Drosophila melanogaster: one gene and its partner. The protein of the gene in region 1 purifies or fractionates together with the protein of each later gene. This does not show direct contact. Each region holds a gene or a part of one and is shown in the gene's direction. Other genes may lie near its edges. The genes, in order: Cbp20 and Ars2.

The links.
Region 2: the proteins of Cbp20 (region 1) and Ars2 purify together in Drosophila melanogaster (affinity purification with western blotting, with the first as the bait; one study listed by BioGRID). This does not show direct contact.

Annotation. Positions count from the first base shown.
Region 1 is NT_033777.3:18,155,609-18,172,391, forward strand, and holds Cbp20 (cap binding protein 20), read left to right. Parts: upstream 1-9,052; 5' UTR 9,053-9,120; coding exon 9,121-9,168; intron 9,169-9,223; coding exon 9,224-9,441; intron 9,442-9,565; coding exon 9,566-9,764; 3' UTR 9,765-9,831; downstream 9,832-16,783. Other genes in the region: CG14315 (uncharacterized protein), read left to right, coding at 3,162-3,815; CG7218 (uncharacterized protein), read right to left, coding at 6,201-7,421, 7,496-8,106, 8,496-8,694; Prx5 (peroxiredoxin 5), read right to left, coding at 9,958-10,287, 10,418-10,552, 10,747-10,854; CG7215 (uncharacterized protein), read right to left, coding at 11,119-11,463, 11,523-11,570. UniProt on the Drosophila melanogaster protein: Component of the cap-binding complex (CBC), which binds co-transcriptionally to the 5' cap of pre-mRNAs and is involved in various processes such as pre-mRNA splicing and RNA-mediated gene silencing (RNAi).
Region 2 is NT_033778.4:6,078,448-6,095,551, reverse strand, and holds Ars2 (arsenic resistance protein 2), read left to right. Parts: upstream 1-9,926; 5' UTR 9,927-10,002; intron 10,003-10,115; exon of another isoform or gene 10,116-10,321; 5' UTR 10,322-10,326; coding exon 10,327-10,466; intron 10,467-10,520; coding exon 10,521-10,705; intron 10,706-10,764; coding exon 10,765-11,044; intron 11,045-11,161; coding exon of another isoform or gene 11,162-11,195; exon of another isoform or gene 11,196-11,383; intron 11,384-11,544; coding exon 11,545-11,611; intron 11,612-11,667; coding exon 11,668-13,640; intron 13,641-13,711; coding exon 13,712-13,816; intron 13,817-14,136; coding exon 14,137-14,218; 3' UTR 14,219-14,517; coding exon of another isoform or gene 14,518-14,587; 3' UTR 14,588-14,724; downstream 14,725-17,104. Other genes in the region: EcR (ecdysone receptor), read left to right, coding at 481-995, 1,399-1,542, 1,603-1,755, 1,819-2,964; SmydA-5 (SET and MYND domain containing, arthropod-specific, member 5), read left to right, coding at 14,986-15,320, 15,376-16,702.

The DNA of each region.
Region 1 (16,783 bases):
CAAAAGCCTAAACAATGTGATTGAGTTGAAACAATTTTACTACTGAGTCTGCATTTTTAGTTGGTAAAACCAAACTCCGACTAGACTAGCTAATAAATGTGCTATTTTAATAGGCTCTTTCTAGCAAGTAATTGCCGAAGAAACACTGGAAAACTGCTCTAATAAAGTGGCCCGTAATCGACTGGAAACCTAAGAGATTTTCCCCCCAAAATTACCGACCGTAATGTGCGAGTTTTGCGAACCGCCCTCTTGCTGGCCGGCATGTGCGCTTTTCCAGCTCATTGTGATGGCCTCTCCACCGGGTTAGCTGTGTGCAGCCCCCGCCGGCGTTGTTGGCGCATAATTGCCATCGGATTCGGATGGTGGATGGAGGAGGCCCAGCGGGCGATGAATTATTAATTGCCGTTGATTTGCATTGAGATCGGAACGGTTCGGGATCATTACCGCGACCGGCAATCTTGCCGAGCGTACCAATCTTGCATATAGTGTAAACATAATAATCAACGGGCATTATATGCCGATATTTGCCGATATATATATATTACATACATATGCATGTGGCGATCAGCAGAATGCGCTTTTGCAAAATGGCCGGCGGTCAGCGCGGCCCCCAATTGACACCTGAGCGGCCGAGCTGCCTATTATTGCTATTTGCGCTGCTGTTGCTGCAGTTGCAGCTGTAATTGTTATTTATGCACTTGCATTTAGCCGACTGTATGTGGCATGTGGAGCAGCGCATAGCGGCCATGCCCCCTGGGATGGGCGTAACGCCAGCAATTTGCAGTGCTGCGCCAACGATTACGTAACAGTTGGGAACACTTAATTGTGGGGCGAAAAGCGACCCACAATGATGATCAAAATTAAAGTGCACTTCGTCATTATCAGTCGGAAGAAAAGAGGGTTTAGAATCCCCGATCTATTTTTATTCCTCAAAATTAAGAGCATATAATTATTAATCACAAATCACCGACAAGAAATCTTCAAATGTCAAGTAAAACTCCAAAATATATATATTTTTTGTTAATAATTAAAAACATCCCGACGTTTACTGTGTATACATATTAAATCAATATTAAATATAATTACCTTGATGCAAATACAAATATTTGGATTTCTAAACATTACCAATTAGATTTTCCAATTGGACTTTGCAGTCTAGTTGGACACACACGGACGCACGCACACGCGCAAACTTCAATATGGCGGCCGCGACAAAAACGAGACAGAAGATCCTTCTGCTGATCTTACAAAATCGGATAAATAAATAAATTTGCTAGTTTTTTTTTTGTTTTGGGCAGGGCTCGCGTGCTTAAGTTCAACTTGAAAAAGTCGCAAGTGACTACTGTGCGATCCCTGGAATCTCAAGCGGGAAAAAAATAAAGATAAAATGTGTACACAGGTACATACATACATATGTACATACATATATGTATTTATGTACGTAAGGAGCAGCTGCCCTCTTTTGTTGTTGCACTTAAAGTCGCTAAAATGCGGTGCGTTCGCTTGTCAAAATTGCAGCAGCATTCAGCCTTTTTTATGTTAAGAAGCCACAAAGAGATGACGCAGTCGAAATGGTTAAATGAATTAACCCTTTTACTTTGCACAAACACACACACACACATGTGCTTGCAACAGGCAATACAGTGGCTACAACAACAATAGCAGACAGGGCTTTGTGATTTTTCTGGCCGTTCTTGTAGTTTTTTGCCCAACACACGGATTAAGCTACACCCTCGGAAAAATATTCGACACAAAATCACGCGATTTAAACTAAAAAATAAATAAATAACACAATTGCGCGGAAACTTGGGAATACACGGCGCTAAGGATATCGATTACTTATTACTTATTACTTTTTATCGATTCGCATCGTCGGAGCATTCGCAGGGTACTGCCAACTTATCTCAATTTCCTAAAGGTCATTGAACTCAAATATATATATAAAAAAACGAATGTAGCATTGCATTTATAGCCATTGATTAATATGAAAGGAAAGTATGTATAAAAGTGCAACCAGTATTTGAACTTGCATAAGTTAAAAATCAAAAGTTAGCTTAGGTCCTATGATTACACCAATCTATTTGACCAAAGTACATAATTAAATATTACATCCAAAATTCAATTGTTCCTGTACAAGTGTACTAACTTTTTGGCGTTTCATGAGCGGCTCGTGTGTACAAACATTTATTTAAATGCTTACCCCCACCCCGTAGCCACTTCAGATGAAGCTGGAGCTGGAGCCGAATCTGAAGCTTGGAGCTTGAAGTTTGGAGCACGGTGGAGAATTGCGCGTAAATTCGTTGCGGTCTGCGCGTCATCAACGTAATCGCCGTCAACAGCAGTCAACAGCATCAAACTGGCAGGCAAATGTTGCTACTGTTTCCAGACGCAGTCCGTCCGGCCAACAGAAGCAAACGAAGCAACAGAAGCACCAACCGCCGCAGTGAAGTGGTTTTTTATGATCAGACGAGATGAGCCGAGCCCAAAGCAGCACTTTCCATCCGAGAAAGAAACCGAGGCTACAACAAAAGCGTGTCTTTCGAGTTCGCTAATGGGAACTACATATATGTATGTACATACATATGTACATTCCGGGTACAAAGTGCATTTTGTGGAAACCCTTTGGGCAGAATGTAAACCATTAACAAATTGTAGCAGACCTATGGCCTATACATTTCTTATTTGTTTTAACTGTTTTGACTCTTATAAATGAACATATTTTCAAGAATCTGAATTAAATTGTAAATTAGTAGAATGAAGCTCTTTCGAAACTACCTCGCTTTGCTCCTTCCGTTTGATCATTTGACCATTTTTGACCATTTGCTTTAGGTTATGGCATTTTGTCCATTTCGTATTGGTCATTCGGTTTTGGCCATTAATTTCGTTATATCATTTCGTTTTTGTCTTGCTTTGGTTATTTCGTTTTGGTCTTTCATCTTAGTCAGTTCGTTTTGACCATTCGTTTGGGCCGCTTATGTAGTTTTAGCCAAATCTTTTTGACCAAATTGACTTGAGCTTAGTTCCTGGCTCTACATATTCTGTTATTTTTTTTTTTTTTTAATTTTTGAGCTGGAATTAAAGCGTTTCACTTCAAACATAGTACACCTGTCGCACAGACTTATTGTAGTTAGTTTTGTCAAGCGTTCGAAGCGACTGCAGAAATGAGGGTCTACTTGTATCAAATGCGCCCGGTGCTCTTTCTCTTCTACATGGTGGAGACGACGGCCAACTTATTCGTTTTGTACTACCAACTGAAAGCATTTGTTTTCGTCAATCTGACAACGATGAAATGGGAAGATGTTCTAATCCAAAGCTTTTATATGTCCTTCTTTTACATATTCACAGTGGTAACGCTCTTTGCCAGCATAAATCTCTGCACCGGTCATCGCACATCGATCGTTGAGGAAGTTGTGCGTCCTCTGATCGGATTTGTTCTATATACGGTAATATCGTTGATGGCACTGGGCGATGCCGAGACGGATTTCTATATATGGTATGATGGAAGGAACCCGGATGATTTACTATATCCGGAGAAGCCGCTCCATCCGTTCTTCGGTAGCCTGCGGGACCAGGCGACAGCCTCATTGGTGTCCAGTGTTATCTATCTGCTGCACTGCCTCATTGCGTTGGATGTCCTTCTGTCGAATGACGATTCGGATAACGAACGCGAGTCATCCAATTCCTCCGACGATGTGAACGAAGAGGTCGACTACGTTCCAGTGCGTCTGTACGTCTTTGGCGGCGTGATGCAACGCTGGCTGGAGCAGTTCGACTGGTTTCAGGACTTTACCCACAGTGGAGTCACAGATATCTGATATTTTATCATTAACTTCATTTATACAACTACAAATTACATGATAAACAAAACTTCGCATCGCTTTTCTCGGTGATTATGCAGCCTTTGGATTTTGGTTACATTCGGTGCAAGAAACCCTAATCATCAGCATTCCCATGACGTCAGTGGGAAGCAACAGTTCGGTCTCTGCATCATATAAAGCTCATTGTCGTCAATGTGCCAGTGATAAGCAGCTGGGGCCAAAACATCTACATAAGTACGCGTATCTATAGTATCTATGTATCTTGGTACGAGTATCTGTATCTGCTAGTGCGCAGGTCCAAAGTTAAAGCGAACAATCGATATATGTACTATGATGTTTGGGGCAAAGCGGCAGTCAAGAGCAAGGTGAAGCATTGCCCCGGTGCTCCTGGGTGTGGTGCTTTTTTCATTCATAAAAAAAAACTGGTCCACATGACATGTGGACACATTCAAGGCTATTTCTAGACCAGACCAAGGATGTCCTTATGCCTCTCATAAACTATGCAATATGATTAGAAAGTCTGAATGTTTAGAATTAGTTTTATAAACTCACAAACTTCGGTGGATCAAAAAGTTTGGCCAGGTGAAGCTAATACTATGGCCTACTTTTCGGGGTTATTTTAATAATATGATTATTGCTGCCATGCTTTTGTATAAACAAATCAATTTCACACTCTTATTAAGTAACATTTTTAAGTACTTCCCCTCTTATAAAGCTTGAATTTTCCATACGGAAACCCAATTCAATCTTAAATGCTACAATTTAAATAAAAAATCACATAAATACTCGACTTTAAACAGAAGTCAAACAAAACAGCAATAAATCTGCTCAAAAATCACGCTTAACAAGAAGAAAAAACATATTTTCCGCCCACGCAATAAGCGAATGTGAAAATGTACATAAATGCGAGAGGGAAAATCGATAAGGACGCCATTCCGCAGGAGCGTCGTGTCCTTGAAATCGAAAAAGGGAAAGACCATTCATGAAGTTGGCCGAACTTTTCATGAATGAAAACGGCCAGCGAGGAGAAAAGTTGACACATTTCGGTGAGTTTGCGCACCATAATGTGCGAATTTTCCAAAGGGGAAAATGTTCTCTCTCCAATTTCACTGCGAAAACTTCCCCATTTTTTCCGGCCACTGACGCAACCACAATGCGCTGTTCCAAGGTCAGCGTAAAATTTCATTCATAAAACTGATACGCCCCGCGGCGTAGATATACATGTATATATATCCATGGCGCGTGTAAGTTCCCAGAAGGTGGTCATGGTTGGGGGACAGGAGGTTAGAGCTGGATGTTGGGCGCGGATTTGGGCCTGAGTGAGCACTCCATTTGCAGCTTGTTGATTTTTCTACGCGTGCAAACACAAACAAAGTGGGAAACCATTTCATTCATGAATCCAACTCAGGGGGAGGATTGTGGGGATGCTCCAAACTTCTGATCCCAAAGATTTTTGGGTGGAGCTCGTCCAGAAAACAATTTCGCGCTAAGCTGAAAGCAATTTTCGCCCCTAGGAATTTGTGGTAAACTTAGTTTAGCTTGGCTTTCATTCAGCTGGGAGTCAAATCTTGCTAACTTGAAAATGTTAAAGGTTATTGGTTAAATGATGCGTATTTGTAAAATAAATGAAATTGTTGTGTACGTCACATAGATTTTATGTTTTAAATTCCGTTCAGTTAGATTCGATTTTTGCCAAGTTGAAAAGTATTTATTACACAATCTGATGGTAACGTGTCGTATGAGTAATATTTTTACATAACATCGCCAAGTTTTTGTCCTTTGCCTGTATTTAAGCCACCTGTATCCACAATTTACAAGATTTCCCAGCAGTCTGACCACGAAAAGTCCTCCTGGTTACATGGTCATCCGTGGACATATCATTGACATACCAAAGTTGAATCCATTAAAAAATATAAGTTATTTGTCATAAATAAATAATCGAAACTGTTTAATATTGTATTTCTTATAGAATGTTATGTACAATAGCAAAGTTAACTTTCTACTATTATTCCATAGTGAACTAAATAAGTTTATAAAATGGATCACCCCACCTAGTGGTAACAAATAGTTTGGACAAAAGCTATTGAGTGTTTTTATTTTGCAAGGGCTCGGAAACAGCCAAAATGTGACATCGCAATAAACGAATTTATAAAGTTCATAGAAATACCATGGTACCACACACCATCTTAAGGATATTGAGGCACAGTTCGATATTCCAGGGCGAACATAATTTTGGCTACGATCTAAAGTACATTTTTCAAATCCAGTTCTCCACTTATACTTATACGAAAAAGAGCAACTAAGCGCCGCCTAAAAGATCAAACAATGCAACTACGTATAGGATAAAATCAAATATAATAATAAATTAGCATCGATTTATGGCTACAGCTGTGTCGTTTGGTTGCCTCCCGCAATACCAGCAGCTCCGCCCTTCTCCACCATGCTGGGCATGCCCGGCTCCGATTCGGAACGCTTGTGCGTTCGCTTGGGCAATCGCTGGGTGGCCTTCTTAGCCTTGGCACTTGTCACTCCGTCGCCGGAATTGTTGAGCAGCATCAAATCCGGTTGGCTGCGCACCAGGTCCTGCTCCTGGTAAACCTCCTGGACGGCTGAACTGGTATTGGTGTTGGTCACCTGCTCGTTGAGGCAAACATCGTCCAAATCCACATCGCTGTTGGAGAAGAGAGCTGTGGCGCCCAGTTCCAGGGAGTTGGTCACGTCCAGCTCCTGCTCACTGACCGCCTTCTTTGGCGTGGATGTGGATGCGATTGAGGTGCGCGAGAAATTCTTACTCACATCGAGATGGCCAGCACTGGGCGGGGTCAACAGTGTGGTCACTTGGGCTGGCTTCGAGCCAATGCTAATGCTGTTGTTATTGTTGTTATTATTATTATTGTGATTCTGTCCGCCCGTCGCAGCCGCTGAGACAGGAGCAGCTGCGCCTATGACCGGCACATTGGTCATGCTACTCGGTGTAGAACTGTTGCGCTCGGTCTGATGTTCCTTCATTAGCTTGCAGGCCTTGCCCAGCGCACAGATGGTCAGGCAAATGCGCAAGCCCATGGCAAACAAGTAGGCCAGCAGGAAGAGCAGCCAGGCGGCTAGATTCTCGAAAGAGACCGCTGTATAGATGGCCTTTATCAGGACCACAGCCAGCGGAAATGGAATGAAGCCCATGCGTCTGGCCACCAAATCCGAATGATCTGAGAATGCGTGCTTTTGCCGCGTCTGGGTCATATCGTAGGCCAAGCTGGTCGTGTACTCCCTGTAGATGCTCTCCGGCAGCTCATTGAATCGCGTGATAAACGCATGCTTCACCCAATCGATCAGAATTTCCGTGAACAGCACGGCAAAGCAGTCGGGCAGCATTACACAGAACTGGGTGATGCTCCAGTCAAACTCCTTCATGGTCTGGATGACCACAATGAACAGAAGCACAGACAGATGGAATCGCTCTCGTACATCGCTGCAGGTCAATTGGAACAGGTTGTTTTTGTCGAACTTCTTGAACACGGATCCCTTGAGCTCCACGAAATTATTCGATATCATGATGGTCAGCAGGCCCTTGTTGTTGGAGTTCACCGCCACATTCAAACAGGTGGCCTGAAGGAATAGTTTAGAAACCAAACCAATATAATCACAGAGAAAATGTGGTTTATAAAGCTACCATTACTCACCTGAAACATGATCAGTCCGCTGTGCAAGAAGACATAGATTAGCGTGAAGAGAACGTGCGTAAGCACTCCAAAGTGCTCTCGCTTGGAATTCTTTGGTTCTGTCGCCGTCCAGAAGAGAGCATCGATCGTGTCCTGACCAAAAGCGGACAACAGCCGGTCGCCCACCTCCAGCATGTTGTAGAATATGTACAGCTTGATGATCGACTGTGACTTGATGATGTGGTACACCCGATTCGTGTCCACCAGGAGCATTATCAGCGTCACCGTCATCCAGATGACGCCCTTCAGCAGATCACAGATCTCCGCCGGCGATAGCAGCCTTTGTCCGCTGCTGCGTAGTCGAAAGATTCTTGCCACCGTCCTGGAAACTAGGGCCCAAACGGCCATCACAAATCGGACGGGCAGAAAAGTGTGAATGTAGAGAAATGAGTCGGCGCACTGCATGATCCCGTACACCATGAATCGCTCCAGATCCCGCGGTATGCGCATGAAGCTGTAGATCTTCTGCCTACGCGCCGAATAGCGCTCCTCGTCGTGCTCCAGCATATAGCCGCGTGTCATCTCCACTTTGAAGAAGTCGTAGAATGTGTTTGTGCAGGTTTCGGCGGTTCCTGCAAAAATAAAAGAAAAATGAATGATAAGTATGAATCAAATATAAAGTATATGCATAGATTCTAATGATTTAAGTAAAATAGATAACGATTGATTACAAATCATTGATTATACATCCTTATCCTTAGTTAAAACAACTTCAAAAATTGCAAATTATGATATATTAGGTTTTTAAGAGCTTTATCTGGAATTTAAGTTAATTAAAAATCTCTCTAGAACTTTAAATATAGCATCAAATCTAAGGCAAATGTGTATGTTATGATCAAAAGTAAAGTTGCTATGAAATAGCGCGAAACCCAATTAAAATTAGTTAACGTAAATGTCATCCTAAGAACTAAATAATAATAATTCAAAAGAATGTTTTTCCAATCAGTAAATCCGTGTTTACCGCTCTGCAGTCGCTGCTGCGCTGAGCCCGCTGCCGGCGTCGCAGTCGGCGTCGCTGCAACGTCATCCTGGGCGAGCGGCGCCTTTTGCTTCTGCTCCTCCTGCTGCTGATGATGCAGTTCCTCCACTCGGCTGCCGGTGACGTCGCCGCGAAAGCGCAGCTGACGCTTGCCGCCCGCGGAATTGAGTGTGGCGTTCATTAAGTACGGTGTGCGGAGTCCATAAAATTAACAATAACAACGAGCTACAAAATTTCGGGGTGAAACAGCAGTTATATGAAAATGTACTAACGCGTGCCGAAAATACCCAAACGTAAACAGTGTGTGTATCGAATGTACAGAACTATCGCCTAAAGTAACAGCTTAGTTTATATTATATTAACATGGTTAATATTTGCAATGATTTTTATTCTAAGCTTAAAGAATAAGTTCCCGTTAGGGCCATGAGAGAAATTGATATATAAGTATACAACGAATTTTAAAATAATATATTTTTGCTACCCAGTAAACTTTTTATGCACTAGCTCACCGATTCATATTTCAAAGTGCTATCGAAGTATCAGTCAATAGAGTGCCGTCACTAAATAAAAGCAGAGAAAATATTTCAATAGTTTGTAGCTGAAAAATATGTTCGCATCTGTGGAATTAAGCTCATATCGCGATCAGCACTTCAAGGTGAGTACATCCGAAGGCGCCACAGCAGATCTCCGACTCAATAAACCAATTGCAGGGCTCGCGCTCCGAGCAAGAGCGATCGCTCCGCGACTCGTGTACACTTTACGTGGGAAACTTGAGCTTCTACACCACCGAGGAGCAGATCCACGAGCTCTTCTCCCGCTGCGGCGATGTTCGTGTGATTGTGATGGGCCTGGACAAGTATAAGAAGACGCCCTGCGGCTTCTGCTTCGTGGAGTACTATGTCCGATCGGAGGCGGAGGCGGCCATGAGGTGAGCCATATCCATCTCTCCACGCTAGAAAAAGCCGCCTTTTTTCCGGCATTTGTAGAAGTAATCAGATGGGGTATCATTATCTCTTAACTAACTTCAACACTCTTTTCTTCTCCCACAAAAGATTTGTGAATGGCACTCGCTTGGACGACCGTCTGATTCGTGTGGACTGGGACGCCGGCTTCGTGGAGGGCAGGCAGTATGGACGCGGCAAAACCGGCGGACAGGTGCGAGATGAATACCGCACGGATTACGATGCCGGCCGCGGGGGTTATGGCAAACTGTTGTCACAGAAGATTGCACCCAACACGGACAATCGCTAGTTATTAGATAAAATGACTGTAAAGACTATAAGCCCCCCAATTAGATATTAAAGCATACCCCTTAGACATAACATCTCTAATCGCATATATATTGTACGTTTTACATAGTTCTTTTGAAGACGTAATTGATATCATTGCGGCCTAGCATTAGCATGTATGAGTTTCTAGTGTTTTCGGGCTGACTGGATTCCATTTACTTCTTGCCAATGTTGTTGGCCAGCGAGCAGCTGAGTCCGGTGCCATCGGGCTCGACATTCAGCTCGGTCACCTTGCCGTTCTCCACCACCAGCGAGTAGCGCTTTGAGCGCACGCCGCCAAGTGGTGGCAGATCGATGGTCACATCCAGGGCCTTGGTGAAACCGCCGGCGGGATCAGCTAGGAGGCGCACCTTGCCCGCGGCTCCGTGCTCCTTGCCCCAGGCGGACATCACAAAGGGATCGTTGACCGAAACGCAGACAATCTCGTCCACGCCCTGCTTGGACTTCAGCTCATCGGCGGAGCTCACATAGCCGGGCAAGTGGGTCTGTGGGTGTGGGGAAATGCATTATTCAGTTGGAATACATAAGCTGCATAAATTACACTATACTGCTGGAAGTTTCTACAATATTCGGAAACTCAAAGCAGATGACTTTGCAACTATGCTACCTACGCACCTTTGAGCAGCCTGGAGTGAAGGCGCCGGGAACGCCGAAGATGATCACCTTCTTGCCATTGACGAGATCGCCGGTGTTGATTTTGTTGGCTGGCGAGTCCTCGAACAGATCCACCGATGGCAGGGAGTCTCCTACCTGGAAATAAAGTGGGAGGCAGACAGGCGTACTTAGAGAAAAGAGGCAGCAAGATGGAGGCGATAACCTTGAAACGCTGTAATTTCTGGGTGCCGCCGCAATCAATATTTATGCAGCTCGGCACCGGCTTATGTAATGGAATCCGGACTGCCGCACAGCCGGAAATCCGCGTTTGCCGGTCAACCTGCACTTACTTTCACCATAGCTGCACTGGTTTTGGACAGGGATCGCAGTGAAATGATTTGTTGGGGCAGCGCGGAGTTAACAACTCGGCCAAGAAATTTGCACGACAGCACACGCATTTCTCCTCTCTTTCTTCTTCTCACACACACAGGCACGCACGCACACAGCCAAAGACTGCAACTGGCCGGTGGAGCGTTGCCAGACCGTCGCAAAAAAGAATATGGGCCGTGTGTTTTCAGTCAAGTCTTAATTTTTACTACCTCATATTTTTTAGTTAGTTTGTTTTTTTAAAGGGGGGAAATAAAAATATTATGCTGTAAGGATAGACTTCCATCATATTTTTGGAGGGGGTGGTGGTGGTTGGTATTGGGTCTTCAATGGCGCTATGTGGCCGCTCTGTTGACTATGCTGTCCGCCAGTCTCTCCAGGTCGTCCAGGCTCTGCTCGTTGATTTTCCGCTCGAAGTCGGCCATAAACTCATTGGTCATACGCTCAGCTAGGGGCTCCGAATAGTGCTTGCGGAATCCCCGCAGGATGCTGTCCCTTAAACAGGGCTTTATCACCACCAGATTGAGTTTGGTGCCCTCCTTGATGTTGGGATATGACGCAATTGTCTGTTCATTGTTAAGCGGTCGCCCCAACAGCAGTAGCTTTTGATTTGTAGCCGATATCTGCAGTTCCGCCTCGATCTGGTGTTTCACCTCCAGAATCGTCGATGTCGGCGCCACCTGTGTGAAATATTACCATATTAGCGACCTCACTTGATTTTGGCAAGGTTCATTCTTACCTCGATGGTGCAGTCCTTGCCCTTCAGCACCTTGATTGTTATCTGCATAGCAATTGCCGTAAAATTTATTAAAAAATTAAAAGTCAAACTCGAGAAGTCGAGCGATATAAACAATCTGTCTTTGGCGTTGCCACCTGTATTGCCACCAAGTGTCATTAGGCCAAGCGGCCCTGGTTTGTAAAACAAGTGCCGCAATATTTGCTAATATATAATTTACAAAAATATTTCCTTATATTAATATATAGTACATATATATGATTCTTGTAAATTGCCAAATGTTATTTAAAATTATTAATATTTTAATGCAGCTAGCACAAATTATGTACAAGCTATCGAAAACCACTCGAAGTTATTATTTTACAAAATTAAAGAATAATGTGAGATCAACAATTAAATAACAGTTTGTAAACATTCGGTTTATTATAATTAATAATGATCTTTAAGTCTTTCGCATTTGGCAATAAGACAGTAGAGGAGAGTAAGGTATAAAGATAGTAAATATAAATAAGTAAATAGCATAAGCAAAAGCTCGTTTTAGCTTTTAAACGGAGTCGGTAAAATCTTCCTAAAAGTAACTATCGAGGGTCGGCTGGGTCAGGCAACGCCGCCGCACGCCTGCAGCCCTGGTAACTCTATTTTCTATTGAGCACCGACAACGTTGCGTGTATAAGACAGTTTACATAAATTATTATTTACAATTGCACAGAGCGTTGATGTTGTGCGTTCTAAGCGAAAAGGTGAACTTGACCCCGGTGCCGATAGACCGCCGAGCTATTGGGTGTGAAATTCGCGAGCGAGCCTTGTGGAATTCGCACGCGAAAATCGAAGCGAATCGCAGCGATCGAAGAAATTGCAGCGCAAATAATTCGTGTAGCCTCGACGACTGAATTTTAACGCGAGAGCGGGGTGTGCGTGTGTGTGTGTGCGCTGTGCTGTGATTCTGTGTGCGTGTGCAAGCGTTTTTGTTAGAATTCGCATTTTACGCAAAGAACTAGCTTTTATCAGCAGTGAACTTGATGTTGGCGAACCTATATCGCAGCAGGGCCAAATTGAACAAGTTCTTGCAGCTTCTGGCGGTAAATTGGCGAAATAAGACCCATTAAAAACCCCCCTCTGAAAATATAACCCACAAATTAACCTCGCCCCTTGACATTCAAAGTTATATTTGTTTCCCCACTTATATATGTGCACATATATATATATAAATATATATATATTTAATAATAATTGTGTGTTTGAGTCTTGGAAGTGCAACTACAACTATTAATCGTGCCTAGTACACATTTTACTTTTACGCTCTCGACTGTCTCCGTCTCTCTCCCTCTCTGTTTCACCCCTTCCTTGCAACAACAAAACTTATGAGTACTTGCTGGGTGCCCCAACAATACTTGTGTTGATGATTGCCCATCCTTGCACCTCCAAAAAGAAATGAAAAAAAAATTTGAAAAACACCAACACCACCCAAAAGCGCTCTTCCTTCCCCATTTCTATTGGCATGTCTGGCAACCCTGGCAATTGGTCGACGGCCATTGCTTCTCAACTTGTTGCTCGTCTCGCTTGCTCTCCTCTCTCTCTCTACTCTCTTTTCAAGTACGCTCTCTCTGCGCCAGTGTTTTGGCATTTTTGTTACTTATTTTCGTTTCGAGTATAGTTTTATGCGAAATGAACAATGCCAAACAATGAAACGCCTGAAGACCTGCATAAAGTGTTGATGCTAACATTTAAATGGGAATCCGAAATTCCACATCACCGACAACACCTGTCCACTTGGAAGTTACAGCACTAATCGGAGGAACGCTGCATGAACGTGTTTTCGGTACCGTTTAGAACCGGATTTTCTATGCTAGAGAATGAGAATATGATCGCGGTTCTGTGGGGACATCTTGTGACAACTTAGGAACTCCGATACGAAGCGGTTTTCCGCCATTAAGGCATTTCCAATTGGAAAGCGCGCAGCGAGAGATTCTTAAAGGTTGCTCCGTTTCCCATTGGTAATGTGTTGTTTACAGTTATGGTTAAGTTAATAGCAGCGTGTTTATGTAATATATAGATAATTCGAGTTATGCACGTTCCACTGTACAGTGATCAAAGGGAAAAGAAACAGTATTGGAATTTCCATGAAGTTGCATAACAAATGAGGAATAGTAGTGATGAGAAGATTCGTGGTAGATTTCAGTAAACCCTTAATTTACGTTGAGCGCCCCTCGAATGCGAATGTTAATGCGTGTGTGTGTGTGTGTGTGTCTGCTTGAGTGTGTTGTTTTGTGGCTTAATTGCACGGTGTGTTGTGATGCTATTGTTATTTTTCCTTTAGTTATTGCTACGTTAATTTTTTTCTTTCGACCCTCCACAGTGCAAATATAATTTTCAGATAGCAATCAACTGAGAGCGGTCCAGCCCGGCCTGTTGTATTTGTTTGTTTGTCCGGTTGTTTACGTTTTTTTCTCTCGTTCTCGCTGCTTTTCATACGTATTTTATATTTTGTAAAAATAAAAAATCGTTATAAAAAACCAAAAACACACATAGAGGAGAGCACATCCAAAGAGCCAAAAAGAGTCAGAACCGATTGCGTATTATGGATAACGAGGCGTTAGATCCAACAATAAAAAGCAGTACGTCGGCAGCGACGCCAACAGCAGCAGCATCAGAAACGACAACAACAGCAGCATCTTCAGTTGTGGAAACCACAACAACAATCGCGGCGGCCACAGCCTCAGCGGCAGAATCAAAAAACGAAACAACGGCCACAAACAACAATAGCAACACAAGCGGCAGCATCAGCAGTAGTAGCAGCAACAATATAGTCATACCGGCATCGGCCACTAACGGTATCAAAGAGAGTAACAGTAACTTAAGTACAACAACAACAGCAGCAGCAGTAGCGGCAGCAACAACTGTAGAAGGAGTAGCTCCAGCAATAACGTCCACAATCGTGGTGACCGGCGGCACTCCTCCATTGAGCAGTTTGGTGAGTAGCTCTCCCCCAAAACACTAGCCCTCCCCACCACACTCCCTCACTCACTCTCTTTCTCTTGCTGTCTTTAAGCCACAGTCTCTCTCTGTTTCTGTTACGATCTCTCCCTGTCTTTCACTTGTCGCCCTATTTGCATGCCTACCGTTATTTTGGCGTAACGTAAACCTCACTCGTAATGCTTACACGCACACTGTGCATTTGTGTGTGTGCCTAAGCCTTATCTTATCTAATCAGTGCTAATGATGTGTGTTATTGTATCGCTGCTTCACCTTACCCCGCACGATTCAAGTTAGATTGACCAACACCAATTAGATTCACAATGTTGCCAATTGTTAAATGAGTGTATGTCGTTCGGATAACAAATCGAATCGTAATTGTATCGCAAGTGCTTGACAAACCGATATTCACTTTCCCCCTTTTCCTCATCTCCAATTTGACCAATTCGTTAGTCCTTAGAGAGATAAACTTATTAGATTTTAATTTTTTTAATTTTAAAAAATGATTTTTTAATTAATTTCATAAGTTTTTTTATACGAAATATGATGCATTTAATTATTTCTTTAAATAGAGGAAATACTCTTTATTTAACAAACGATATAAATAGCATTTAATGACCTTGTAAGTGGTAACAGTAATCTAGCAATCTTTATTGCTTTTCAATTTTGGTTTACAAATCGTTATCGTTTCAATTATATTACCTTGGGTTCTACTTTCTGATAAGACTTTTGCGATTGAATGAATAGATTGCCCTAAATCCTAGATTTTATACGATTTCCCGAAAGTTTTGTGTCAACAAAAGACGGAGTTGATTATACAAATCTTTATACTCACATGCCTGTTATTAACTAGAAGAACTTTTAATGAAAATTTTTTACATTTTTGTCTCTCCAACGACAAAAATATTGAACATTTGCAATAAAACATAAAGTATAAGGCGAGCACTTTGCTTTTTGAAACTGCCAAAAAATTGCCCAATGAAATGCTTTAAAAAATACATAAATGTTAGTGCCTGGAAAATATATACATATATGCCACCACCTGATTCCCTGGTAGATGCCAGCAATATAATCCTATACGTGTATGGAGAGCCTACGGAACTCCAGCTTCCTGATCCCAGAGCACATTTCAATGTTCGGCATTACTAAACTCAGACTAAAACACACCCACAGGCAGCTCAACTTAGGCGTCAAGGATTCGCACAGTCCAAGGTAAAAGCGATGGCCGGCCAAAATGGCAGCGAGGGACCATCCCGAACTGAACTGCTTTGCTCTGATTTTGCAAGTGCTACGTTTTGAGTATGCTTTTTATTTGACCGCATATTGCTTTGCATTCGTTGTTAAAATTATTTTCATTTACTAAGCATAAGCCAAACCGTTGACATGGGAAAAGATAATCAGATAAGTGTCATTTATGCCCCTTTGCAGGCTAACAAACTCAAGGACAACACACCACCGTACGATGCACCGCCGCCCACGCCGATCAGCAAGGTCCTGAACATCACCGGCACCCCGATCGTTCGCAAGGAGAAGCGCCAGACCAGCGCCCGGTACAATGCCTCCAAGAACTGCGAACTGACGGCCCTCATTCCGCTAAACGAGAGTGAGTAGCCTTGGAGTAGATCCTACTACTTAGTATATTACTTTATAATACATGTACTGCCAGCTGTTCAGATCGATATCTCTTAAGCCTGCAGATCGGTTGCATGGGGTAGAACTTGGTCGTAGCCATGTCGTAGCATACATTTTAGGGCAGGGTTCCGTTTAGGCGATATAAAATTACCTTTCTTACTGTCTACCAACATCGTCAATTAAGTTTTTATGCAACTATACACTCAAAACAGATTGTATAAATCGTAGTAATTCCCATTAACGATGCATAATTACATATATTATGTCAATTAACTCCGGTAAATTTCCATGATTATAAGTTCAGCTTTAACTTACAAGAGGCATTCTCTGTAAAGTGTACCTACGACCTGCAAGCTTGTTGGGAATATTGATTGGCCGGCGCTTGATTAATTTCGCTCAGCTGTTGTAATTTGTTTATTATTTGTTAAAGTTAAAGGTCAAGGGAGTGTCGTCTGATTAGGTGGGTGGCAACACTGACGCACGGCCACTCACACATGTGAACCAAGCAGCCGCATCAATTCACACCTCTCTCCACCTCTCTCACTCACCGGAATTTCAACACATGCGCTCTCTCCGCAGCCTCTCATTACACTGGGAGAAAGCATCGTTAGAGGATTTCTCAGACCGTCTTAAATTTCATATATACACCGGCATTTCTT
Region 2 (17,104 bases), on another chromosome or scaffold:
GGTATAATGCTTATATTGGTATTTAACTTGTGACCTTTTCCTATTTGGTAGTAGAACAACTGTGTATTATGTTGTAAAATTAGATCGTTGGATCCTTTCAAAATTTACAATATAACTTCCGTTCCCTGTAGGCCTTTATTTATCTATTCTTCTGTCCAACCATTCATTTGGTTGGTTTTGGGTGGCGGGAATAATTTCGTTGACTTTGAGCGACAACGTTAATTGAATTTTAAATTTCCGACGGGGACAATGGCGGAGGTGGGCGTTCCCAAACTGCGTTTGCCAGTTATCAGATACAGCAGAGCTGATTAGTAAGCAAACGAGTTCCAGTTAGATCTGGAGCTTGCAAAACATGCAAATGGCGGAGAACATAGAACTCCTCGAGAGAAAATTTATTTATTTAGGTCTTATGTTTAATGGATCGTCGCTAAAGAAACCCCATAATAAATAAGGTTTGTTTCCCCTTCTTTTTGTGGACAGGTCGCGATGATCTCTCGCCTTCGAGCAGCTTGAACGGATACTCGGCGAACGAAAGCTGCGATGCGAAGAAGAGCAAGAAGGGACCTGCGCCACGGGTGCAAGAGGAGCTGTGCCTGGTTTGCGGCGACAGGGCCTCCGGCTACCACTACAACGCCCTCACCTGTGAGGGCTGCAAGGGGTTCTTTCGACGCAGCGTTACGAAGAGCGCCGTCTACTGCTGCAAGTTCGGGCGCGCCTGCGAAATGGACATGTACATGAGGCGAAAGTGTCAGGAGTGCCGCCTGAAAAAGTGCCTGGCCGTGGGTATGCGGCCGGAATGCGTCGTCCCGGAGAACCAATGTGCGATGAAGCGGCGCGAAAAGAAGGCCCAGAAGGAGAAGGACAAAATGACCACTTCGCCGAGCTCTCAGCATGGCGGCAATGGCAGCTTGGCCTCTGGTGGCGGCCAAGACTTTGTTAAGAAGGAGATTCTTGACCTTATGACATGCGAGCCGCCCCAGCATGCCACTATTCCGGTAGGGGTCCATATTAATCATATCAATAAAAAAAAAAATAAAGATCCAAGATCAAAGTATATGCTGTTGGGATGAAAATAGTATAGTCCCAAGATTAAGAGTTATTTATGAAATATGAAAGTAATGTAATACAAGTCTTAAAGTATAGTGGTAACACTATATTATTATAATAATAATCTAACATAGATATAGTCAATAGTCTATAGTAATTCTAATGAAGAATCGTAATCGCGGAAGCAAGGAGCCGAACAGAACAATAAGAGTAATGATATAGTATTATAATAGAAATAAAATATTAGTATAATAGTAATGTAGTTCTAACAAGAAATTCGATTTTTTTAGACTCCGCTCATATTTGTCAAGCAGAATTCCACTTACCCATACTTTTTAATTTCCGGTACAGCTACTACCTGATGAAATATTGGCCAAGTGTCAAGCGCGCAATATACCTTCCTTAACGTACAATCAGTTGGCCGTTATATACAAGTTAATTTGGTACCAGGATGGCTATGAGCAGCCATCTGAAGAGGATCTCAGGCGTATAATGGTGGGTTAGATCGAAATTAACTATATAAATAGAATCTAAATTGATTTCTATGCCTTGCAGAGTCAACCCGATGAGAACGAGAGCCAAACGGACGTCAGCTTTCGGCATATAACCGAGATAACCATACTCACGGTCCAGTTGATTGTTGAGTTTGCTAAAGGTCTACCAGCGTTTACAAAGATACCCCAGGAGGACCAGATCACGTTACTAAAGGTGAGTAGAATCGAAATCACTGGGTACAACCGAAAAGACTATAACTAAACCCATCAACGTTAGGCCTGCTCGTCGGAGGTGATGATGCTGCGTATGGCACGACGCTATGACCACAGCTCGGACTCAATATTCTTCGCGAATAATAGATCATATACGCGGGATTCTTACAAAATGGCCGGAATGGCTGATAACATTGAAGACCTGCTGCATTTCTGCCGCCAAATGTTCTCGATGAAGGTGGACAACGTCGAATACGCGCTTCTCACTGCCATTGTGATCTTCTCGGACCGGCCGGGCCTGGAGAAGGCCCAACTAGTCGAAGCGATCCAGAGCTACTACATCGACACGCTACGCATTTATATACTCAACCGCCACTGCGGCGACTCAATGAGCCTCGTCTTCTACGCAAAGCTGCTCTCGATCCTCACCGAGCTGCGTACGCTGGGCAACCAGAACGCCGAGATGTGTTTCTCACTAAAGCTCAAAAACCGCAAACTGCCCAAGTTCCTCGAGGAGATCTGGGACGTTCATGCCATCCCGCCATCGGTCCAGTCGCACCTTCAGATTACCCAGGAGGAGAACGAGCGTCTCGAGCGGGCTGAGCGTATGCGGGCATCGGTTGGGGGCGCCATTACCGCCGGCATTGATTGCGACTCTGCCTCCACTTCGGCGGCGGCAGCCGCGGCCCAGCATCAGCCTCAGCCTCAGCCCCAGCCCCAACCCTCCTCCCTGACCCAGAACGATTCCCAGCACCAGACACAGCCGCAGCTACAACCTCAGCTACCACCTCAGCTGCAAGGTCAACTGCAACCCCAGCTCCAACCACAGCTTCAGACGCAACTCCAGCCACAGATTCAACCACAGCCACAGCTCCTTCCCGTCTCCGCTCCCGTGCCCGCCTCCGTAACCGCACCTGGTTCCTTGTCCGCGGTCAGTACGAGCAGCGAATACATGGGCGGAAGTGCGGCCATAGGACCCATCACGCCGGCAACCACCAGCAGTATCACGGCTGCCGTTACCGCTAGCTCCACCACATCAGCGGTACCGATGGGCAACGGAGTTGGAGTCGGTGTTGGGGTGGGCGGCAACGTCAGCATGTATGCGAACGCCCAGACGGCGATGGCCTTGATGGGTGTAGCCCTGCATTCGCACCAAGAGCAGCTTATCGGGGGAGTGGCGGTTAAGTCGGAGCACTCGACGACTGCATAGCAGGCGCAGAGTCAGCTCCACCAACATCACCACCACAACATCGACGTCCTGCTGGAGTAGAAAGCGCAGCTGAACCCACACAGACATAGGGGAAATGGGGAAGTTCTCTCCAGAGAGTTCGAGCCGAACTAAATAGTAAAAAGTGAATAATTAATGGACAAGCGTAAAATGCAGTTATTTAGTCTTAAGCCTGCAAATATTACCTATTATTCATACAAATTAACATATAATACAGCCTATTAACAATTACGCTAAAGCTTAATTGAAAAAGCTTCAACAACAATTGGACAAACGCGTTGAGGAACCGGGAGAAAATTTAAGAAAAAAAAAACCATTGAAAATTATGAAATTTAGTATACATTTTTTTTGGGTGGATGTATGTCGCATCAGACTCACGATCAATTCTCGAATTTTGTTAACTAAATTGATCCTCCAAACTGCATGCGAAACAGATCAGAAAAGAGAACAGACAGTAGGGCGTGAACAGAGGGAAGAGAGAAGAGAATAAAGATTGTTTATATTTAAAAAATATATAAAATAATAATTACTAACTCTAAACGTAATGAAAGCAACTGTATAATATCTAACTATAACTATAAATTCGTACTGTAGGGAAGTGAGAAAATCTGTTAAATGAAACAAAAATAATGATAATAACATTATCATCCACCATAATTAAAATCATTTAAAGTAATTAAAAACAAAACACTTTTAAAACACGCAAAACTTGGACTGATTTTATAAATATTTTTTAATCATAAAGAAAGGCAACCTGAAAAAAATATTACAAAAACAAATAACAACATATTTTATTATGACACCCTTATATGTTTTCAAAACGAGAATTTAAATTCTTAGATTCTTATAATTTCATCCAAAAATATTAGCCAGCAAAAACCTTTATTATTGGCATTGTTTTTAGACATGTTTTCAAAAAAAACTTTGATATTGAAACTAAACAAAGGATAATGAAATGAAAGTGATTGGAGTCTTACTCAAAAACCAAAAGGCATCAAAAGGTATTAAATTAAAAATATAATCTAATTTCGAGTTCAAGAAACACTTTTTGGTGGAAAATAGTTTTCAATCACTTTGATAAAAACCACACAAATTAATAAATACATGCATACACCAAAAGACTTCAATATATATTTTTAAAATTTACATTGATAATTCGAAATTTGAATAAGAATCACATCCATCTAATTTGGCTAAATCAAAATTTTTATGAAAGCCACACAAAAAACGTGCAAATTTGATTACTTTGGCAATTTTTATGTTATACAAAATTTATGCAATTGATTTTCAAAATAATTTTTATTAGATTGTATTAGTTTCATTTTGCTTTGGGATGTACATTTTAAATAAATTTTACTTTAAATTGTTGGCCTTATTTTAACTTAAATCAAATTTATTCTAATTTTAGTAAAAAAAAATGTGTTTAAAATTGAAAATAAGAACACTGTAAAATATTAATAAAAAATTAAAGTTTAAAGTGATTCTTTTATTATGTAAAAAGAAGACAAAAAATATCTTACGTAGCTTTCTACTTGAATTGTGCAATTTTTTACTTTTACTACTAATCCTAATTTAAATATAATTTACACACACGCCTACACATCCAGCCACATATTTTTAATTTTAAGTCAACCTAATTTATAAATATGAATTTGTATAATGACGAACTAAAATTAGCATGACATCATGGACATACTTGGAAATAACTCTATCAAACGAGCTAAATGCATTGAAGAAGAAAATTCTTGTTAAATATAGTCTGCACTTCGACAAACGAAAATCAGTGAATTATTTATTCATATTACAAAGACGTTCGTGGGAAGCTCCAAGGGAATCCATGGACTATCCAGGCTCATTAAACTCTTTATTAGTTTCGTTTTTACAATAGGCCTTAGTTAAATTCCTTCTAGCATGCATATTCAAGTACGTTCAATTATTATTATACAAATATACAAAGTTACTTTTATACATACCTTGTTTTGTAGTTCTACACGTAATGTAAAGAAACAAACTATCGAAATACGGATTATTTTTACCTTTTTACCTTATTTCTGCAAGTGGAAAAGAGAAAGCAAGAAAAATGTATACAATATATGAGAAGTATGTTGAAACAAAAATAAGAAAACAAAAAAATATTCAAAAACATAAACCAAAACCTCAGTGTTTTTATTTTCTCAATCCATTTTTGTTATTTCCGTTTGATTTTCGATGGCTAGGGAAAGGATACGAAATAATGGGGTGCGAGTGAAAGACTTATGAGGTAGAAATTCAGAATTTGAACAAAATTTTGCATACGATACAGATGCAAATGGCTGTGAAATTGGCGAGGAACAAAAGGAAGAGATCAAAGCATGAAAATGAATTAAGCAGTTGCCTATATTGTCGAAATTTGGTTTATGATTTATTTCAGTTGGATTATGGATGAAATGCAAGTAAGCTATTTAATAGCCTTCAAGCGTACTGTTTAAGTACCACTAGAGTTTACTAAGGACACGAATGTGGCAGGGAGCGAATGACTTTCCACATATTCCATTCGATTTGCAATTTCGGACCCAAGTCGAGTGTTATATTTAGTGTAAGTGAAGTTTAATAAATACTCTCAATTGACCCTCCCAAAATCTTTCAAATATTATAATAGCACGCCTAAGACTTTGTACATATGCATATATTAATACATATATATATTTATAGCTCTGGCTCTGTAAGATTGAAAACAAAAAATGCGAACAACCAAAATACAAATAATGCAACCTGATGAATTACGAAAATACAAGATTGTATGGTATAAAATAGCAATTTGTTGACAGATTCATTCATATAAAAAGATTAAGAAACAACAAACACACAAAGCTAAAGCTGAAACGTAAGAAAATCGTTATGTAGATTTTTGAAATTCAATGTGTTTAATTTTTATGCACTGTTTTCTGTTATGTGTAAACTCGTAACTTGTTTTGCCCCAATACCTAGACCTAACTATGTAGAACCCACGACCACGACCGTGTACACACCCTGTAACCCTAAGAGAAATTGATTGACACTCATACTCGTACACTTACAAGCATTTTGTGTTCAACTTGTAGATATTGATCCTGAATTGAAAAACTACCTCAAGCAAAACAAATGATGATTAAGCAGAAGGGCAACAGATGTTGGGTGATGGAAAGGTTTTAAGCATTATAAAAATAAATGTAACTACAAGCGAGACCTTAGCAGCAGAGCATGAGCAGGAAAAGAACAAAGTATATACACTCAAGAAAGCTATTATTTCTCTTATACGAATTTGTTTCCATCGCACTTTTAGCCCACGATGACTTCGTTTTGAACTTAGAACGCACAAGCCTTGTTAAAGCTACCTGGTTTGCCGCTCATAATTGCCTAGCTTTAGGCGTTATCAGAACTACGTATGTATAATCGGCGACGTTAAACTTCAGTTTTACTTCTTTCCATTATCATAACCCAAGCTGGACAAAAAGAGAAAGCTTTTTAAATCGATTTGAGTTAAATAGCTGAGTTTTTCTCACTGCCAAACCGAAAATGAGATATAATACCAAGTAGTTTGACTAAGTTATCGAACCGCAGCCATTTTCAAACTTAGCGTAAAAAAGGGGAGAAACCATAAGTCTAATTTCATTTGCAATGTCTAGCAATCAGTAATATAATTCTAAATTGTACCATTAATACCCACGAAATATATACAATTATAACAACCACTTCAAGATACGATTTCGAGTATATCTTTAAGTCAGTACCTATACGTATATTGATTGACAACGCACACAATTGCTAGACACAGATCTTAGCGAGTAAAATCATTTTTTCCGGAAATAGAGATTTTAAAAAACAAATAAAAAACTGAAAACTGAATTGATGGCATTTTAGTGTAACGAGAAATACAAAAGAAAGTCGATAATCTAATCAGCAAAGTTACAATATTGTGAAAAAAGCCCATTACACCGCAGATACGTAGAAAAAAATAGTAAATTAATTGGTGATTTGACAGATCGCCTAGAAATAGTTTTCTATTTCACTCGCATTATTATTTACATGCTACACTGCCAGAAAACTTTTACTTCACCTTTTACATTAAGCAGCAGTAAGTCGATTAGCAAATTGCAAATTCAAATCGAAAGCAATTCGAATTGCAAATCGAAAGCAAATTTGTTTCAAAAACTTTCCATGTCTCGCATATTCCTTATGTTGCCGTATATCGATTTTGATAAAGAGAGAGAAGTAGAGATTGTTAGCATTTAAATAAACTAGCAGTGAATCGTGCTTTTCTAATTTGAATGGACTTCACATTAAATACACCAGAATGGTAAAAACTCCATATGCAATACATACGGTGCATGGAAATAAAGCTACATGCACCTACATACTTACATAAATGGATAAACCTGATATTATATTTAAAATTCTGATTAATTTAAAGGTATGTAATGCTCTAACGATGTTACGTCATACACACTTTTATACTTTAAAATTAAAGCATTATGTTAAGTTGGTGGACATAAGTAAGACAGCTAATATTGTCGATTATATGCAGTTAGTTGTCGAGTAGGATATTTTTGAGGATCAGGCCAATTGTCAAAAGTTTAATCTAAAAGTAAGGGCGCAAAGATTACATTTTTAATACTAATTTCTTAATCAATACATTAATTTAGAACTAGATACACATACAATTTGCATAGTTGTATAATTAAGTTGTAAATATATATATATATATATATATATATAAACATAAATCTAACAGAAGTCTATATATACGATATATGAAAAGTGTAATAAAATAAAAACGATATATTTAAATAACTTGTTTTAGTTGGGTATTTAAACAGGTTGTTCAAGGAGTAAATGGTAAAATATCATCCTCAAATAATATTAGCATACAGAAGAATGCGCTTATTTAATATATATGTTAATATATTTTTCAGCATGAACTATAGCAACGTATGTCTTTCACTTTCCACCTTTCAGTCCACCTTTTTATCCGTTCAGTCTGTCCGCATGAACGCCAATATTTCGAAACTATAAGTTAAAAGGCTTTTGATTCTAGTGACACCTATGCTGATCCATCCATTTATCCATGTAAATCTATCCATCTATTTCCATATAAAGACACCTAAGTCCCTGTATGATTAATGACGTCAGAGATTCGCAACTTACATGCACATACACACATAGGCACCAAATTGAACTATTATTTCGTTATTGCATTCGTGCAGGTACATTGGCATCTGAGCAACTCACAAGAAACTAACCGGTGAATCAGAAGACTATGGTAGAAGACTACTATACTATAAAAAATGACGATGATAAAATTCAGCTTTTTGTTAACATATATAGGCTTAAGCAAAAATTTAGCATTAGTGGAGTTTTGTCGCTTTTAATTGATAACTACTTGATATTCGGTATGCCATACCGCATTTATCATTACTTTACACCAATACATACAATATTGTTTTTATATTTTATTAAAAGCGAAAAAATGCTTAGTTTACGTAACGTCAAATATGTATAAGTTCTAAGGTTACTTTGTTGTTCAATTTTTTAAATTGTTTATTATTTATTACTTCACCTGTTACATTTCGCAGCAGTAAGTCGATAAGCAAATCGCTTCTTTATTTCAAAAACTTTCAATTTCTCGCATATATATTTTATTGCCGTGGAGTTATGTCGCTTTCATTTTACTATTTTACTATTCTATTTTATACTATACCATCTTCTATTGTTAGTAATTTATCAGGTTGCACTATTTGTATTTGGTTGTTCGCTAGAGCTATAAATATATATGTAAATGTATGTATTATATATTCTTGTATAAAACTAAACAATTGAACATTACACACTTTTTATAAGTATGCATTTTTGTATGCACATTCATTTAAAATTTTTAATTAGATAAAACTATATGCCATTACGACAAATATGTTACAAAAAAATAGGCTCTGTTACAGTTAAGCCTGGTTTTTAGTTATATAAAGTACATGTGGTTATTTACTACTATTAGTTTGGTAAATATGAAAGTTTATTTAAGCAAAAAACATTGTAATATTTCCTATTTTTAACAAATGTTTAATAACTGGAATGTCAATCAATCAATGTGTCTATTTAATGTTCTGACAATTTTACTTTAACTTCTTACTTATATAGAAAATTCACAAAGTTGTTATTCAATTTAATGTTTCGGGATGAAATATATATATTTTACCTAGGTTCCTATACTATTTAACACAAATAGTGCACTGGGTTACTTTTTACAAAGACACTAGAATAATAATAATAATAATAATAATAATAATAATAATAATATTCTAGAGTCTTTGCTTTTTACCTATACTACGGTTGTGTTTTCGATCGATTGACACGGCAAGTTCTGAACTACATGGGAATGTTTGGTTCGCTCTTGATTCGAGTATTCTGAGCATGATTCGATCTTGGAAAGATTTTGAGATCAAAATTCTTAAATCGAGATCGTTGAGAACGGATTTTTCTCTGAGTGTTGAGCAATTAATACGGTTGAGACAAAGGCACTAGAATAAAATAGTGTCTAGAATAATTCTAGTGTCTTTGGTAAAGAGAAGGCAAACCCCAAGAAAAATATATAAGAAGAGTTACTCGGAATGTGGAAGGTTGGTTGACGGAGAAATTTGGAACGGCGACAATTGTCGCCGACAATCAACTAAATTTTGGATTGTCTTTTTTTTAAACAGGTATATTCTCAATTGGATTATGCCGAGTTTACTTTTATGATTTTGATCATTGCCATGTTGGAAGGTGGATAGGTAACAAGTTACAGTTCCTTGAAGACTTATGGGACCAACAGTCCAGCCACCTACGGGTTAATCAACACGGGGATAATGTGTGGAAACATTTATCGATAATTTTACAAATTAGAGGGATATAAAACAATTTGGTATATTTTCATTTCATACCTGGAAGGTATATTGCGTTGCACAAAAGCGGTCACACTAATTGATAGACGCAAAGTTTTAAGTAAAATTTGGGTTTAGTTAGGCAAAGGTAATTAAAAATGATAAAGGAGCGAAAAATGTAACAAAAAATGCCGATATGTTGTATTCTACGCTCTTTTATCGATTTTTTAAAATGCATTTCTCATTGTCCATTCGATGAAACACGTAAGCGGTTGTAAGCAAACTGACAAGATGGCGGCCACATCTGCTTAATTGAAAATCGAAATTAAATACGATATAACTAGCCTGCCGACCCAAATTGCAAACGGTTTGGAGCTGTTGTAATCATAATATTTGAAGCCCTTACCGGCACATAAGTGAGGTTAAGCACAAGCGACTTTCATCTATATTACTTGCCTTCGTTGCAGACCAAATGGGTGATTCCGACGATGAGTACGACCGCAAGCGACGGGACAAATTCCGCGGGGAGCGCGAGAGTTACCGTACGGAACGCCGGGATGACCGCCGGCCGGTGGGCGGCTCTGCCGGTGCCCGCGACGAGTGGGCGGAGCGGTAAGTGAAGGTCACCTTTCAACTATTACATGACATCATTACTGGACGTTTCAGCAATCCGTTCAGGGGCGGAGCTTCCGCAGGCGGAGGAGGAGCTCGCCACAGACCAGACTACAGCGACTACCGTGGCCCGGGAGCTAGACCACGCTATGGGTCACCCGTCCGTGATTTGCCCCCAGCCAAGCGTATGCGCCCGGACTGGGGGGACGGCGATGTGCGCGCCAATCCCCGCTTTGGGGGTGAGTTCTACTAGACTCCAGGCTTTTCAGACTGCTTATCGAATTCTCTTTCTATAAAGGCTATGATCCGTATTTGATGCAGGCCTGGAACGACCACTACCAGTCGATGCATTCGGCCTACTCCCACGGTGGCCATGCACCACCTGTTCGGGAGTCCATAGGCGGCGGCGGAGGCGACACCCTTACCCAACCAGCCATGCTCAACCTGAAGCAGTTTCTCGACACCCAGGACGAGAACATTTCTGACTCGGAAGTGATGCGCAAATACACCGAGTATAAAACAGACTTCAAGCGCCAGCAGCTAAACGAGTTTTTCGTGGCCCACAAGGATGAGGAATGGTTAGTAGCTGGCCAAAAGTGGATCAACGACGGTTTTGTTGATATCTCTGCTTGTGCCGGCGCATTGCGTTATTTGCCGTTCTTCTGTTCGCCACTCATAACTTTCTATATATTAAGTTTTTCCCTGCAGCTTATTGGGTTTGTGAGATAAAAACTTCTCTGAGAGATTCTGCGCCATAGCAGAGCTGTTGATTGAGTATAATTCATTAATTACCCGGCGAGCAATGCCGAGGTGTGTTCATATTTCAAAACCGCGATTTATTTAAATTCGATTGACGAACAAAAGCCTAAATAAATATAAAACAATCCCATAAATAACGAAAGCGATAAGCTTGCAAGGTAAGATTTTGGGTGATAATTCAACAACAACCTATCTAAACAGGTGAACAATTTACCGAATCCACTATCAACAGCCGGGCGAAAAAGAAAGAGAGATGAAATTAAAACAAGGATTTTAATTACTGCAATATTAATAACCATACTATTTTTTTTAACTGCAGGTTCAAAAACAAATACCATCCAGAGGACAGTGTTAAACGCAGCGAGGAACAGCGGGGCTTCCTTCAGGTTTAATTGTTTGCTTCCCTTACCGCAGAAACCGTAACCAAACTTACTTATTGCAGAGGCGCACTGATGTCTTCATGGAGTTACTCGAGAACGGAACAATAGGAAGTGTGAAGGTGGATTCTTCTCAGGCTGATGCTCTGATCCGTGTTTTAGATACATGCGTTATAAAGCTGGAAGGCGGCACTGATGAGGACCTCAAAGTTTTAGACGAAAAACCCAAGGATCCAGTAGTGTACGAACGAAAGGCGGAGCAGATGCAATCCGTCAAGGAGGTGGAGAAAACAATTAACAGTCCCAAAGAGGAGATGAGTGAGGCAGATCCGGTGTCGACACAACGGAAACCTGTGAGGCCTGTTAATTCTGATGGGGAGAACTGGGATGATGACGATGCAGAAAATTCGGCGCCAAAAAAAGAATTGGCCGAGGATTCAAAAGACAGCGATTCCAAGCCTGAAGACAAACAGTTGAACAAGAAAAAGACAAAAAAACGCAAACGCAACAGCAGCGATGATGACAGCTCCTCATCCGAATCCAGTTCTAGCTCAGATGAAGAGAAACTTAAGGAAAAGTATGATGTGGAAGATGGCCTTAGGGCCGAACAAAAAACCGAGGCAGAGAAGGACAGACAAGAAGCGACCAAAGCAAAACAGGGACCTCAAAGTCCCAAACTGGACGAGGACGAAGGTAATGAAAATACTGAGCCCAAAGGACTAGACTCAAAAATCAATACTTACGAGGAGATTGACAATACTTTGAAGTCACCTGAAATATCTTCGAATCCAATTAAGAACACGGATAATGGAGACGGCAGCAAAGTAGAAGAGGATGGAGAGAAGCCCTCTGTTGGTAAAGACAAGGTTGTCGAAACCGAGACTATTGATCTAGACAAAGTAAAGGATGGCCAGCCTAGGGCTCTGCATAGGACCTCCTCCATCTTTCTGCGAAACTTAGCCCCCTCGATAACTAGATCAGAGATCGAGGCCGTGTGTAACCGTTTTTCCGGCTACTTAAGGGTGGCCATTGCAGACCCCTTGGTGGAGCGTCGTTGGTATCGTAGGGGTTGGATAACCTTCATGCGAGACGTCAACATTAAAGAGATTTGCTGGGGTCTAAACAATCAGCGACTGAGAGACTGTGAAATGGGAGCTATCGTCAATCGGGACCTCAGCCGACGGGTACGTCCAGCCAATGGTATAACTGCGCACAAGCAAGTAGTGCGATCAGACATTAAACTGTGTGCCAAGATTGCTTTGAATCTGGATGAGAAGTTCAGATTATGGGCAGAGGGGCCTAAAGATGATTCCAATTCCGCCCGAGCGAACGAGTCCTCTGAAAATGGCAGCGGATCCACGTATGGCTTCAATTCACAAAACCCGGTTCTGCAAAACATCACTGATTACCTTATCGAAGAGGCGTCAGCTGAGGAAGAAGAGCTTCTCGGCCTTACCGGCGAAAACAAGGACACTGAGGGCGAGCCCATTGAGCGTGACGAACAACTTATATCCGTTCTTGATCGCCTTGTGCTTTACTTGCGTATAGTGCACTCAGTAGACTATTACAACCATTGTGAGTATCCATATGAAGACGAGATGCCCAACCGCTGCGGCATTATCCATGCCCGCGGTCCACCTCCTGTTCGGGTGACCAACAACGACGTGCAAGAGTATATCAAGATATACGAAAGCAAGTTGCAACAGTTTCTTACTAAGACTGTGCCACTGAGTGACGAAGAGATTAAGAATCTTGGAGCCAAGGACGCCGAAACGGAGGTGGAAAAGTTTGTGCAAGCGAACACTCAGGAGTTAGCCAAAGACAAATGGTTGTGCCCCCTATCGGGTAAGAAGTTTAAGGGGCCCGAGTTCATCCGCAAGCACATCTTCAACAAGCACGAGGAAAAGGTCGACGAGGTGCGCAAGGAGGTGCAATACTTTAACAACTATCTACGCGATCCTAAGCGTCCGCAACTTCCCGAACATCCAGGCACCTCTAAGCGTCCAGAATCGGAATCTGCTCGTGGAGGTGGTGGAGGGTGAGTAAAACATTTATTCCCGTTGCACAACAAATAAGGGTAATTATTTAATTTTGTTTCCAAAATGTTAGATACCGACCGCCCATGTATCCACCTTTTTCGGCAATGCCCTATGGTTTTGGTCCACCCATGATGGGTGGTGGCCGTGGAGGACGCAACTTCCCTCCCGCGCGCAGGTTAGTACTATACATAAATTTCTATAGTGTAGATGTGCAATTCTCGGCAGTCATTCCCGACATTTTTGAATAGATAAATTTAAATTTTATTGATCGATTTGTCCAAGAATCGAAGACGATCTTTCCTTGGAGTGCTAAAGAGAAACGTGCCGAACACATGATTCCACTTTCCACTACAGCGGATAATACAGTTCCGACGAACATACTCGAACACTGATAGCATTTAGGAGACTCTATCTTGCCCTTTTTTTTACTTTTTCTCTTTTGTTGGCCTAAATTGAAATTTGTCACAACTTTCTTGTGTCGCAAATTTTTTGCAGAGAATTGCCTTTGGAACACCAGCGCCGGCTTATCGGTTACCATGATTTGGATGCGCCTGCCAATTCTGATATGTTTGACTAATTGATTAGCACAATACAAATAAAAACAGGCCATATTGATGCAGCTTATATCGGTTGGCGAGCTCAAGTTTTAAATGCAATTCAAGCAATGCTAGGAAAAGTATCTACTGCATATAAAGATGGTTTATATACGACTAATGATATCTGTTTTCCTGTACAATGCTAGAACCTACCTTTATTGCCCAAAATAAATGAAAATCCATAGCCTAAAAGAAAACATTGTAATATTTTGTATCTCTGCCCTATCCATAGTCTTGCGTGAATAATTCCAATATCTATATTCATTCTCGTTGCTTGCAGACCCGGTGGTTTTGATTATCGACCCAGATCACACTACCGGGACTTGGACGCGCCGCAAGAACCATACTAGAACTAGCTGTGCGGAGAACACAAGCTAGATAAATTGTATCAAATTAACTGATAAACACTCAAACACTCTCTTAATTTTCGCCTGTTTTGTACGGTCAACTTTTGTATTCCACAAGGAAATAAAGTGCGAAAAAAAGCTTTTTGCTGAGTTTTTATTGGGTTCTATTGTTTTTCCCTTTGTAAACAGAGAGCGCGTAGTATAACGTACGGCAATGTCTAAACGAGATACACTTAAACACATAAGTTCTCTTGGCTAGCCCCGAAAGACTGGCATTTGGAGAAACGAGCTAAAAATAAGAACGCAATCGCCGGCGTGCTGAGATCAGAACGTCAAAAAGAAAATATCCCTTGCCAACGTAACATTGTGGTGCAGTTGGTCCCAGTGGACCAGGAGAATAAATGGTGTCAAGCACGGAATGTCCTGTTTGCGGAGTTGCTGCCTCACAAGCGTGCACTAGGTGCAAAATGGTGCGATACTGCGACCGAGAGCACCAGAAGCAGCACTGGCCGCAGCACAAGCGCAGATGTAGGCCATTCAGCGAGGAGCAGGATGCCGAGCTGGGCAGATATTTGAAGGTTACCCAGAACATAGCAGCCGGGCAAATAGTCTTCATTGAGGAGCCCCTAGTGGTGGGTCCCAAGTGGTATCTCTCCGACGCAGACAAGGAGGCCTCTAACGTTCCGTGTGTAGGCTGTTACACTCCGTGCCGTCTGGGGAAGCACCAGTGTCGAAGGTGAAATATACTAATAAACATAGTCTATCATCCATTTGAACAATGTGATTTCCAGATGCCGTTGGCCAGTCTGCAGCGCAGGCTGCAAGCACGAGTCAATGGAATGCAGCGTGCTTAGCCTCGGATCGGGTTCACCAACTCGGGCAGATGCCCGCTCATTGAACGACTACTTCAGGGGCGATGCTCTTTTGGTGCTCAAATGCCTTCTGTTGCAGCGACAGAGTCCCACGAAATGGTCCGCGTTGTTAGAGATGCAGTCTCATGAGGAGGAGCGTAAGGGCACCGATCTGTACGAGGAAGCAGAGAAGCGAGTAGTGACCTACCTTCAAAAGCGGTTTTTATGTAGACTTAAGCAAACTAATCCAAACCTTCTGACCGATTGTGGACCAGAGATGCTGCATCGGCTTTGCGGCATCATCGAAACAAACTTTATGGTTATCGAACTCCCGAGTGGCGTGGAACTCAGCGGGTTGTTCCGGCAGGCCTGCATGATGGAGCATGCTTGTCAGCCCAACTGCGACTTTCAGTTTGATAACAAGACTCAGCAAGTTGCTGTGCGTGCTGGCTGTGACTTGCGAAAAGGCGACCACCTACGGATTACATACACAAATATCCTATGGGGCACGCAACTTCGCCAGCACCATCTTCGACTAACGAAGCATTTCAGCTGCCGCTGCAGCCGCTGTCTCGATCCAACGGAATATGGCACCTATATAAGTGCGCTGACTTGTCTGGGGGATGTAAATCAGACCTGTGGAGGAACCCACTTGCCCGTGGATCCACTGGACGAGAACACACAGTGGAAGTGCGACACTTGCCCAATGATAGTGGATGGAGCTTACGTGGCTGAACTGCAGTCCCACATGACCGAGCAGGTGGAGGGCTTATTAGCCGGATGCCCCTCCGCGAATCAGGTGGAACTTCTGTTGGCCCGCCTGACCCATATGTTGCATCCAAATCATTTTCACACGTTCAACCTAAAGCACACATTAATCCAGCTGTATGGTAACGAAGCTGGCTTGGAGTTGGGCGTGCTGAGCAACACGCAGCTGGAGCGCAAACTGAGGCTCTGCGGTGAGCTCTACAACGTATGCCGGCGACTGGATCCATATAGCATTAAGCTGGCTATCTATGTCACGGTCATCCTGATCGAGGTCGCCCACACGCTGCAGGAGCAGGCACGAAGGGCACCAGCAGAAGGAACTTCCCTCTTGGGTCTTGCGCAAAGCCGTCTTAGGGAAGCGCATATGGTTTTGGAGAAAGAGCAAGAATCAGTTGCCGGCAAAAAGCTAAACGAAAAATTGCAGATGGAAATCTTCGAGTGCGAAAAACTAATTTTAGCTCTTGCCTATAATCAAGATCACGAAGCCAATACAAAATAATTTTCTAGATCGGCGAAAGTGGTACAAGTGAACATTTTGAACACCGGATGCTGTTAGGTGCTGTTAAAACAAATCACACTTTGTTAAAATCCAATGAAGCGCCGTTCAAAAGAAATTGTAAAACGAGACTAGGAATCTTTTCAAAATACACATTTTTGTTGGGTTGCTTATAAAAACTATAAGATATATATAAAATAAGATTTTAAAATAAAAACATGTGCGCTATTTTTGATTCTTTGGAAAAATCCGCTAGATAACCGGGAAAACAGCTATAAATATCTATTTCCTACTGAACCTAAATGTCTTTGTAGAGCTATAATTATATAGCTTATTTTCAAATTTTACCTATTTCTCTTTAAATTACCAACTGCGTGACCATTGAAATTCACAAGGTTTGGTATA